Rattus norvegicus: one gene and its partners. The protein of the gene in region 3 interacts with the protein of the main gene of each other region in a biochemical or structural test. Links are inferred from orthologs where the notes say so. Each region holds a gene or a part of one and is shown on either strand. Other genes may lie near its edges. The genes, in order: Ahr, Bcl11b and Nr2f1.

Region 1 (3,744 bases), on a different chromosome or scaffold from region 3:
CCAGTTCACACAACCACCCACAGTGATGAAGGGTTCCTCTTCCTCCACAGTCTCGGCACCATTTGTTGTTCTTAGCTTTCTGGATGTCCTTTTCCTTGCTGCCATGCATCCTCTCTTCTAATCTCTCTCAAATCTATAAAACGCACCCAACTTCATCTGCGTCTCCACCATGTCCAGCATCACCGCCCTGACTCCCAAAATGCACTGCTCTGCCTCTATTCTTTGGTGGTTAACAGCCAACTTCCCTCCTTTACTATCTCTGCCTTCTTCTCCCTCATCCCTATTGCTGTGCCATCGGACTTGCACCTGCACGGCTTCAGACTTCATCAACTTCCCAGCGACTCTCTCTTCATCCACTTTGCTCCCGAGTAACAGAATTGCCACCTCTTCCCACAGTGACTTTCCCGAGATAGCAGGAATAGTATCTTCCAAATTCAGGCTTTAAAAGTGTCCCATCGCCTACAGAATGAGACCCAACTTCTTTATTAAGGCTTGATGATTGGTTTCTTGGTTTTCTGAGTATCCATTACATTTTTTTTTCCTACCACCAGATCTACCGGACTACCAACAAAGGCTCAGCTCTCTGGTCATAGTCTTAGTACCTATCCTCCCATTTCTCAGCACCCCTATGCTTCTTTCCTACACATCTTCCTGAAGTCTGATGAAGAAAAAGATATTTTATTACCTTCTGTAGATACAGTAAATGTGGGAGGGAAAGGTATTATAAAACTCCTGGCCTTCAAGGCTCAACTCTGTAGGGCTTCTGTAGCTTTCCCCTTAGAGTGCTCTTCAGTCACAGTATTTATCAACCAGCTCAATGTAAAATCTTTGTCAAAACTTAGATGACTCAACTCTAGGAGGAGCTAAGCTCTTTGCCTAATAAATCTTGATGTCTGGGTACAAGGAATTTGCCCAGACATAATGTGGCCTCACACTCCCTTCCAGGCTGGAAAACAGGTACTAGTTGAACACCACCCCGCCTCCAGAACCTCTGGCTGGAAGAAATGTAGGGAGACACTACGTCCTGCGTCATCACGTGCTGCGAGGAGGGTGGGGCCCTCCTGGGAACCGTGAGGGGCGGGGCTGAGCAGGTGGGGCGGGGCTGGAGCCCGGGGCGGAGCTGCGCGGGGTCGCGACAGCGGAGGAGCGGGCTCGCGGCGGGCGGCAGCGCGTGTGTGCGGTCCCCTCGACGCTCGGTGCCCCACGCGTGTCCCGGAGAGGTTCAGCCCGGAGCGACCCGGAGGACGGACTGGTAGACTCTGGGGTGGCAGCCTTGCTGGGCTTTGAGCAGCGCGGGCTTATCGCCTGAGCAGGGAAGCCCTTGAGCACTACGGCTCCTCCTGACCCTCGGGACCGGGCGCGGCTGGCTTGCGGGTTTCTCCTCCGCGGCTAGCCCGGGCAGCCCCGCGTCCCCTCTGTCGCCCGCACCTGCGCGTCGCGGTCGGTCCCGCCCTCGGTGGCGGCGGCTCACCTGGGCGCAGCGCGGGCAGGGCGCCGCCTCCGGGACGCAGGTGGAGCGGGCAGGGCGCGGGCACCATGAGCAGCGGCGCCAACATCACCTATGCCAGCCGCAAGCGGCGCAAGCCGGTGCAGAAAACGTGAGTGACGGCGGGCAGGCGCGCTCTGCGGGTGCGGGAGGTCCCCACGCGTGCAGCCATCCGGGAGCAGGGGCTCAACCAATGCATTAAAAAATTCGTCCCTGCTTTCGGGCGCCTGCACCTTCGCAGCTCAGCGACCTTCCCTGGCCCTGATTCGTTGACAGCTCTGACCTACCTAGTGCCTCTCTGGCTTAGTTAGTTAAGCCTGCCTGGAAATCCTCCACTCTAGATCTCCACCGTGGTGAGCTTTAGGGGACAGCTCACTGAGGTGAGAAGTTGGCCAGAGCTAAACACGTGCCGTCTTGAAGGAGGGGTCCTGGCCTCTGAGGGAATTTCTTTCTGTTCTTAGCGTCTAGCTTTCTGTTTTGCTCTTTCCTTTACCTCTAGGCAGCGATTTTGCCGGGCTCAGAATAGGCGCAGAGTTGGTAGCAGGTTGGAGTGTGCCTTGGACAGGTGCTCGGGCGGCTTGGTGGCATTCATAGCCACTCTTTAGTGACACTTTCTTCCTCCTTTTGGAGTGCTTGTAGGGTATATAAAATTTTTTAAAAATTAAGGAGAGGAAAAAGAACTGGACTGACTTCTAAGTTATTTCTACTGTCTACCTGTAATTCATCTCCCCTTGCTTATAAAGTTTTGCCGATTCTAACAGTGATTACAGACTTTGGTCTTTGTTTCCATGGGCTATTTCTGTGAGATGGGAGATATTCATAAACATTTTTTTTCACAGAAAAGAGATCCGAGCATGAGACAGGGTTCCATTTAGGAGTTGGGTGTATTGATGCATTCATTCATAATTATCTTGGAGTTTCCACAACTCACCATTTCTTATTTTTTTAAATAAATTATTTTAGGAACACTTTCAGGTAATCAGTAGTGTGCATTTTGCTTGAAACCTGACAGCCATCACCAAGTGAACCAGAAAAATAAGATCTTAAGATTTATACACTGTTTACAACTAGTTACTAACTTAGAACTTGGGTTATTTGTGGATTTTAATTCCGTTAAGAATTTCAACTGTCATAGTTCTTCAAATCTTGACTTAAAAATTAATTTTAAGAGGAGATGCTTGTGTATAAATAGTCTGATCAGAATTTGGAAATTTTATGGTACACTTTAAAGGACGCAAATATCGTTGACTCAGCAGTTTTCCACCTCGGCAGTTCTTTGGACCCCGGCTTTCAGCGCCTTGTTATTTTGTAAAATGGTTTCTTTTTATTAAACCATGTTTGCTCAATTTGACTTTGTTCCTGATGGTTAAAGTTTCAGAGGCTTTTAAGTGCTTGTTCCCTGTTTTTGTTAATAGTAATACTAACTTAGCCTGAGATGAAAAAAACTCAGATGTTATGTACAAGGGCGTAAAGTCTGAAGCTCCCCGTGAGTTTTTTAAATAACTGATTTTCTCTGTGTTTCTTAAGGATGTAAACTGCTTTTCATACAAAGGTAACCATCTCAGAGGTTGCTCTTTATAACGTTGGATATCTTTAGTTTCCAGTCAATATAAAGAGCTTCCTTTTTAACACTGCAACACTTCCCCTTAGATTAAGATACCTTTAACTGTATTGCCACTATTTGTGTTTGATAATTTCTCACAACTGAACTGTTGTCCCCACTAACTTATATTTTATTTTACATGGTTCTTGACTTCTGTACTGAGCCCCTTTAATCAACTCTAACCCTTCATAGGCCTTAAAGGTCACCACTTGCTTTGTCGAAGACTTTTAGTGCTAGCACTTAGATCCTCTAGTGAAAGTACTTACATTTTTCCCTCCGAGTAGAAAATAGTGAACTTTATAATGCACATAATCAAAGTTCATCCTTAACAATTAGATCATTGAGCTTTAATATGTCTTTAAGTTAAACTACTTCTATGCAGTGAGGCCCCCAAATACCTCAATTTTAGGAAAAACACAAAGATGTGTTGACCGTGCTTTCTAATTAACTCGAACCCTTCAAGGGAGAGCTGTTTTATAAGGAGCATGTGCACTGTAATTCTACAGTGTTAAATAATGTCATATTTAGACAGTTCCATGAAAATTTGGAGTAAAGTAGGTGACATGATTTCAACTTGAAGCTTGTTCATTCTTCAAATGAGGATCTAGATACAAAATAAGCTCCCTCTGGTGGCTGGTCTCACCATGACAGTTAT
Region 2 (3,744 bases), on a different chromosome or scaffold from region 3:
AAAAGCCACCGCTAGTCGCCCCCAGTGCTCCGACTCTCTGGGTCTTTTTGTCTCTAGAGCAGATTAAACGTCACGTCCGCACTTGAACTTGAATTTTATCCCATTGTACAGAGGCAGCCCCAGCCACAGAGAGACCGAGAGCTCCCGGAGAACCCGGACTCCGCCATCTTCACGTTGCAATCTATAGCTCCCGTCCACGCCCGCACCGACCCGGGCGCATTGGGCGAGCCGCCCCGCAGTCCCGCTCCCCCTGGGCCGGCGGCGCCGGGCAGCGCTGGGGAGCGCACGCGGGGACCCGCAGCCCCTCCGGCCGGCGCCAGCCTGCCAGGTGACCCGGGAAGGAGCCGCTCCCGGAGTCCCCCAGAGCCTCGGAGGGGTCAGCCTCCGAGAAAGAAAAAAAGCAGGCAGCGCGCAGAAAACCCAGAAAGAACCGAACCAAGGCAGTTTTTCATTGCTTTCGGGTTTTTTGAGGGGGCGGGGTGAGGGGGTACGAGACAAGTCCCCAAGTTTTCTTTGCCTTTTTTTTTTTTTTTGCTTTTTTGAAATTTGTTTGCATTTTTCCTCCCCCCTCCCCTTGGGTGGAAGTGCGCGTTCCACCTACCAGACCCCGAAAGAAAAGTGTCAGAGGCCGGTGCAAAACCCGGCGTAACTTCAAGAAGACATTTACAAGTCTAAGAGGCCAAGCACTTTGAAGAAGTGTGAGAGATATTTTTCCTCCAAAAGAATATATTTTTAAAGAAACCGGCCAGCCCGCGGCGAGCAACAGCAGCTTTATAATTTATTTTAGCCTTTCTCTATTTTAGAGCAAGCCATCTTCCTGGCTTTTTCTTTTTTCTTTTTGCAAAAACAAAAACAAAAACACAGCCCAGAAGAAAAAGCAAAATAAAGACGAAGAAGAAGAAGAAGAGGAGGAAGAGAGGAAGGGCAGAGGCACCAACCCGGGCGGAGGAGGAGGCGCGGCGGCGGCGGCGGCGGCTCAGACCCCCTCCCCGGCCCGCATCTGTGCAGCTTTCCGGGCGATGCCAGAATAGATGCCGGGGCAATGTCCCGCCGCAAACAGGGCAACCCGCAGCACTTGTCCCAGAGGGAACTCATCACGCGTAAGTGTCCGCCGCACGCGCGAGGGGCCGGCGGCTGGGGCTCCGGGCGCCCGGGGCTGGGGACACCAAACCGGGCTCAGAGGCCGAGCGTGGGGCTCTGGGAAAGTTTCTCTGCAGCCGGGGGCAGCCGCCGCGGGCTCCGGGCCGGGGAGGGGGTGCGCGGGCTTGCAGGCGGCTGTGCGCGCCGAGCCCGGCTGGACGCTCGGCCCTCCAAGCGGCGTGTGTGGCGGCGGCGGCGCTGGTGGCGGGGTTTGGAGAGGAGGGGGAGGGGGCCGGGGAGCGGAGGGGGAGGGGGAACCGGGAAAAGTTGGCGAGCGCGTGGGTCCGCGCTCGGAGAAGCGGGCGGACGGAGCCCCGAGTGAGCCCTGGACCCGAGGACCCGCAGGGTAAAGGGGTAGCCGCGGGCTTCGGGTTCCCGGTCGCTGCGCCCCGCCAGGCAGGGCGCCGACCGCGCCGCTGCTAGGATTCCGAAGCCGCCGTCCCCTCCCCTCCTCTCGCTATTTGCAAAAGAATCCAGCTGCGCAGCTGTTTGCTGGGCTGGAGCACCCCCTCCTCATTTCCCCACCTCCGTCTCCTGGGACGGTCTTGTCTTCTTTCCCCCCCAACTCAAAAAAAAAAAAAAGGTGTGGGGGGAGGTTTTGGGTTGGTGAAAAAAAATCCCCGCCACGAGTTAAAAAAAAGAGTCATGAGTGGGAAAAGAGGGATGCTCTTGTAACAGTAAAAATGAAGAGGAGAAAAAAAAAAGGAAGGGGAGAAAATACCTATCATCCTCTTATCCATCTCTCTATCTCTGTATCTTTCATCTTCCCCATCTAAATAAACAAGGCAGGTCGCAGTGCAAATCCGCCGGATTTCAAGCAAGTGGCGGGGCTGGCAAAGTCAGGCAGCAGGGCAGACACTCAGCGGCTTCCAACGCCCCAGCTGGGTTCGTTTAGAAAAGAAAACGCCAGCGCGAGCCGCGCAGGTACACAGTTCTCCCGGAACCCGCCGGGTCCCGGCGCTGCCACCAGCGAGGTCGGCTTGCAGAGCTCTGGGACGCCCTGGCCGCAGCCAGCGCGAGTCTCTCCCCGCGGGTTTTTTTTTTTTCTCTTTTGGTTGCGGTTGCTTTTTATTTATTATTTTTTTTATTGCAATAGAAATAAAATTTCCTCTGGGTGCCATCGAGACCTCAGGCAGGTTGTAATCTTGCAATTCTTCGCTCACCTCACTGCGTTGGGGCCGGGCTCCCCGCGCTGGAGCTGGAGAAGCCTGTGAATGACGGGCCGCCGCTGAGGACTGACTGCCCTGCAGTCGAGAGCCGAATATTTATGTTATATTTTAAAGAATTTAAATAAATAAATAAATATATAAAGGGGCTCTCCCCTCCCCTCCAACCCAGCACAGGAGCCATCTGCTCGAAGCTATTGCTGTTCCCATCTCTCCTTTGTTACCGCAGACACGTTAGTAAGAATTCGTGCGTTTATTATTATTATTATTATTATTATTATTATTATTATTATTATCTCGGGGGGCATATATATTAAAGTGAGGTTCTTGGGAGAGGGATGTCTCTTACGGGTAGAAGGGAAGGGAAGTTTCCTTTATTTTTTTCAATGTTGTAATGTCAAAGGAGACTTGCTGGTTGCATTTAAAACAAAATGTTTTGCAGCCAAATTTGAGCCTGGTCTCATCAAGATCCTTTTGACCACTTGACATTTATTTTCTTCCTTTAGCATGCTGCAGCCATGGGTTATTTTACAGTCCACTTCCTACCTTTAGGTGAAGTGGTTGTTAAAACATCCACACTTCCAGACCCTAATTTGTCCAAGAGGCAGTTTGCTGCCACCCCCATCCCCTGTATAATTGCAAGAATTGTTTTTGAGGGGGGGGGTCTGTGGGAAGGGGAGAAGCTGGTAGCCCCTGACACTGGGTCATTTGCAGTATTAGGGGAAAGGCAGATAGATTTGCTGTCCTTCTCTGGGCATCCCTGGGACATCCTGAGCAAGCTCTGACCAGAGGGACCGGTGGCAGCTGGGCCTGGGGGTGAGGGGTGCTTCATGTGACATCCTTCCATGCATTTGGTTCTCTGTCTCACCCTTGCTCTGAGCAGCTGGGAAAAGCCAGCTGATGCTTCTGCAGAGGCAGAGAAGGCAAGAGTGCTGGAGAGAAAAGGGGGCAGCAGGCCAGGCTGCTGAGCAGTTCTACCTGCCTTCTGGGGACCCTGGGAGCCTGGGCATTGTTTCAGGGGGTTAAGCAGGGAGAGCGGTTCAAAAGGTGTTCAGAAAAGCAGCTGGCTTTTCTGTCCGTGCAGTATCACCCCAGAGGTAGCAAGACCGGGATGCAGGAGATACAGTGTAGCCTGGGGATTGTGACTAGTTATGAAGCATGGGATACAGGAGCTCTGATTGCAAAAGGCCTGGGCAGCCGAGCAGGTGTTGTCTCAGCCCCTACAGACACTCACTCCCATGTGAGATTTTAGATCTGAAGGAAACCATCTAAGACGTGGCCGATCGGTTTTTTTTTTTTTTTTTTTTTTTTTTTTTTTTTTTTTTTTTTTTTTTTCAGTTGGGTGGCAGCCTTGGGCCTGTGGGGCAGTAGCTTAAGGTTCTTCGGTGATGATGCAACTTCGAATCACTGATAGTCCAGGAAACCAGAAAGGCCCCAA
Region 3 (3,744 bases):
AAAAAAGAACATTTTTGGGCGATCTCCAGGGTTTTTTAACTAGCTCTGTGTGTTATAGCAGAAGAAGCAGAAGAAGCAAGAAAGAGGAAAAGAAGAGGATTATTTATTCGACCTACTTTGGATGTCTCTCTCGCTTTCTCTTTTTCCTTTTTTTCTCAAGTATTTTCTTCTGATTTTTATTTTTTTTCCTATTTCGCTGTGAATTCGTCGCTGGCGTGAATTATCTCGTATTTTTCTCCCCCTTCCGTCACCTCCCGAAAGAAGAAGGCAGAGAGAACCCGGCGCCACCCGCACAACAAAAAGAGCAAAGTGTGTGATCTTCCTCGCCGGCTGCCTCCCGCTCTCCAGAGCTGCCTTCCTGAATGGCTGGCTGCGTCCGGCCCTGGACCTGGCCCCCCGACACCCGAGCGCCCTGATCGTCGCCGGCAGCTTCGCCCTGCGTCCTGCTCGACTCTCCCAGCTCCCCGCACTCTTGAAACCGGGCGAGGGCTCCCGCCGGGACAGCGGCGGAGGCGCGGGCAGCCCCGGCCTCGGCTCGCGCTCGGGCTGCGGCCCCGACTCCAGCTCGGACTCCCGCCCGGGCCCCAGCTCCTCCAGCGGCGCTCGCAGCGGCGGCCGAGGCTGCTCCTCCGGCGGCGCCTGCAGCCGCGACCTCCTCCTCCTCCTCCTCCGCCGCCGCCGCCGCCGCCGCCCTCGCCGCTTCCTCTATGTCGGCTCAGCCCGCGCTCTGCGCGTAGCCCCAGCGGCCGGCCGGCCGGCGGGCGGGCGGGCGGGCGCCGGGCGCGAGTGAGAGAGTGTGTGTGCGAGTGTGTGTGTGCGCGGGTGTGCGGGCGAGGCGGAGGGCGAGTGTGTGCGCGCGCCGTGGCCCATGCCCGCCGCCCCCGGCGCTGCGCCCCGCGCCGCTCCCGGCTGCCGCCTGTGCCATTTCTGATTTTGCAACTTGGGGAAGAAGAAAAAAGCGAGAGAAGGGAGCTCGCTCGCCGGGGGGTGGGGAGGGGGGAGAGAGAGCGCGGCCCCCCCAGGAACGGAGCGCGGGGGGGAGCGGGCGAGGGGAGCAGGGGTGTTGGGGGGGAGCCTGAGAGCCTGGGGGGGCTGCAAAAAGAGAGAAAGAAAACAGCAGGAACCACAACAAAACGCCAGCAGGGCGGGCGGGCGCGCAGCAGCAGCGGGGCGGCCGAGGCAGTAACGGCGGCGGCGGCGGCGGCGGCGGCGGCTCAGGCAGAGGCCGGTGCCCGGCTCGGGCTTGGCTCCGGCGACCCCGGGGTGCCCGGTGGGCCCCCCGCCCCCTCCCCCTCCCCCCTTCCCCTTCCCCTTCCCCTCCCAGCGCGCCCGCGCGCCCCGCGGCCCTCGGCGAGCAGCTCGGCTCCCCCCAGCGCTCCCCGGGCCCAAAGATATGGCAATGGTAGTTAGCAGCTGGCGAGATCCGCAGGACGACGTGGCCGGGGGCAACCCCGGCGGCCCCAACCCCGCAGCGCAGGCAGCCCGCGGCGGCGGCGGCGGCGAGCAACAGCAGGCGGGCTCCGGCGCGCCGCACACGCCGCAGACCCCGGGCCAGCCCGGAGCGCCCGCCACCCCCGGCACGGCGGGGGACAAGGGCCAGGGCCCGCCGGGTTCGGGCCAGAGCCAGCAGCACATCGAGTGCGTGGTGTGCGGGGACAAGTCGAGCGGCAAGCACTACGGCCAATTCACCTGCGAGGGCTGCAAAAGTTTCTTCAAGAGGAGCGTCCGCAGGAACTTAACTTACACATGCCGTGCCAACAGGAACTGTCCCATCGACCAGCACCACCGCAACCAGTGCCAATACTGCCGCCTCAAGAAGTGCCTCAAAGTGGGCATGAGGCGGGAAGGTGAATATTTCTTCTCTGCTTCTCTCCCTGCGCTTCGCCCGCCTCCCTGCTCTTTCTTTCTCTCTCGCCTTGGTGGCTATGGCTGTGGGGATGGGGCTCCTGTGGTCCCAGCCGGTCCGGCTTCCCATTCCTCGCTGCTTTCCTCCCCCAGCGTCCCCCACCCCACCCCCCCAGCTCGCTGCTGCTGCCTCCCCCTCCCGGCCTGCGCTCCTCTCCCGGGCTCCTCCACCCCTCCCGCTGCCTGCTCAAGATTGTGTCCCTGGGATCCAGAGCTGTAGCTTAAAAATCCCTCCCTTCCTCCGTTGGATGTGCTCCGTGTGTGTTTCGCTCCCGCTTGTGTGTGAGGATGCTAGGGGCTGTGCTGGCATGAACTTGGGAGGGGTGCTGATTTTCCGCAGAAAACCGTTTCTCTCTGTGTGTGTTTTTGGTTTTGTTTTTTCGTTTTTCCCATTCCACTTTCTCCTCCGCCTCATCGTATCTTTTATTTATAATGGGAGAGGACTGGGGCTGGAGGACCCTGATCCTTAGATTCATTGCTGCCACCATCCTTTAGGAAGCTTAGCTTGGAAAAAGAGGAGTGAGATTTATTGCACTTGTAGGTCTAATTAGGGGGAAGGGGGGCTTCTGGCCTGTTCACTGGCTCCCTCTCCTCTTCAGGGACCTGGGGCCGCCTCCTCCCGAGCTGTGGCCTTGTTTTCACCCCTATACTTTGAAAGGAAAGTTTGTGACTGAACCCTGCTTTTATAGTAGTGTCATTTTTAAAGCTTGATACTCGTTTTATTTCTTCATCAAACTCCACCCTCTGTTTAAATACTGCATACAAATTACAATTTACAACGGCATTTACCGATCCTTCTGATTTGGCTATAATGCATAAGCTGCAGCTGGCATGAGCTTCTGCATCGATGTGTGGGTTGTTTTTTTTTTTTTTAAGCACAACTTTTGATGTTGGATTTGGATATACTTCATGTTCATGTGGCATGAGATGGAACACTTTTTTTACAAATATATTTAGTGGTTTATAGTTAAAGTTTATCTCCTGACAATCATTAAAGATATAGTCAAATTAGTGAACCAGTCAATTTCGAAGAATGTAGATTACTTCTCCTTGTAATGGCTTAAAATTATATTTTATATACCACAAGAAAAGAAATTGGATTCCTTCAGATCTCAAGGAAGAGGCAAATATGATGACTTCATTTCTAGCTCCAGGGAGATTCTGCAGGCATCTGGGGGGGGGGGGGCTTTGAATTGTGCTCTCATTTAATTGAAAAATAACTGCCAAGTTCAAAACTATAATTAGAAAAAGTATTCTAACCATTGTGTTTCAAGAGCGTAAACTGCACTGCAACTCTTGTTGGAAGTAGAACCAAAGAAAATAGAGCAGAGCCTGAGACAGGACAGCTCTGTGGACATGGACCTATCTCTACTAATTTGTTGGGGGGTGGCAGTTCAGTAGCCCTAACTTTCCCTAGCTTTGTCTTTGTTTACATGGCAATTTAAAATGCTGGCACTGTTGAAGTAAAACATACACATAAAAAAAAAACTTTGGTCAGCTTTAAGAACTCAAAGCATGCTTACGTTTTGCATGCAGATGGTTAATGAATCCAGTGTTTTTGCAGTTGCAAGCTCGTGCATTCACTGGGCAAAGCTGGCTGCAGGTTGCAGTGGCATCGCACAGGACAGACATTAATTATAGTTCCTACTTTTTTCAATAATGTTTGGCTACTGTAAGTTCAACTTTCTCTTGAAATTTTTACATGTTCTGTTGCTTTTAATAGTGAGAACTTTGTATGGGGTAGTCGGGAGGAGGGAAGGTGGGAGGAGGTGTGTATGATGTTTCTCGGGGTCCAAACTTGTAAGTGCTTAGTAAGATATGTAACTTGTATCTCTTTTA

The links.
Region 1: the proteins of Nr2f1 (region 3) and Ahr form a complex in vitro, tested with the Homo sapiens proteins (2 studies listed by BioGRID). The link is inferred for Rattus norvegicus from reciprocal best matches to the Homo sapiens genes NR2F1 and AHR.
Region 2: the proteins of Nr2f1 (region 3) and Bcl11b form a complex in vitro, tested with the Homo sapiens proteins (2 studies listed by BioGRID). The link is inferred for Rattus norvegicus from reciprocal best matches to the Homo sapiens genes NR2F1 and BCL11B.

The regions. Positions count from the first base shown.
Region 1 is NC_086024.1:57,996,666-58,000,409, reverse strand, and holds the start of Ahr (aryl hydrocarbon receptor), read left to right. Parts: upstream 1-1,508; 5' UTR 1,509-1,536; coding exon 1,537-1,598; intron 1,599-3,744. UniProt on the Homo sapiens protein: Ligand-activated transcription factor that enables cells to adapt to changing conditions by sensing compounds from the environment, diet, microbiome and cellular metabolism, and which plays important roles in development, immunity and cancer.
Region 2 is NC_086024.1:132,688,401-132,692,144, reverse strand, and holds the start of Bcl11b (B-cell lymphoma/leukemia 11B), read left to right. Parts: upstream 1-1,042; coding exon 1,043-1,100; intron 1,101-3,744. UniProt on the Homo sapiens protein: Key regulator of both differentiation and survival of T-lymphocytes during thymocyte development in mammals.
Region 3 is NC_086020.1:9,783,306-9,787,049, reverse strand, and holds the start of Nr2f1 (COUP transcription factor 1), read left to right. Parts: upstream 1-1,125; 5' UTR 1,126-1,393; coding exon 1,394-1,847; intron 1,848-2,062; exon of another isoform or gene 2,063-3,564; coding exon of another isoform or gene 3,565-3,577; intron 3,578-3,744. UniProt on the Homo sapiens protein: Coup (chicken ovalbumin upstream promoter) transcription factor binds to the ovalbumin promoter and, in conjunction with another protein (S300-II) stimulates initiation of transcription. Binds to both direct repeats and palindromes of the 5'-AGGTCA-3' motif.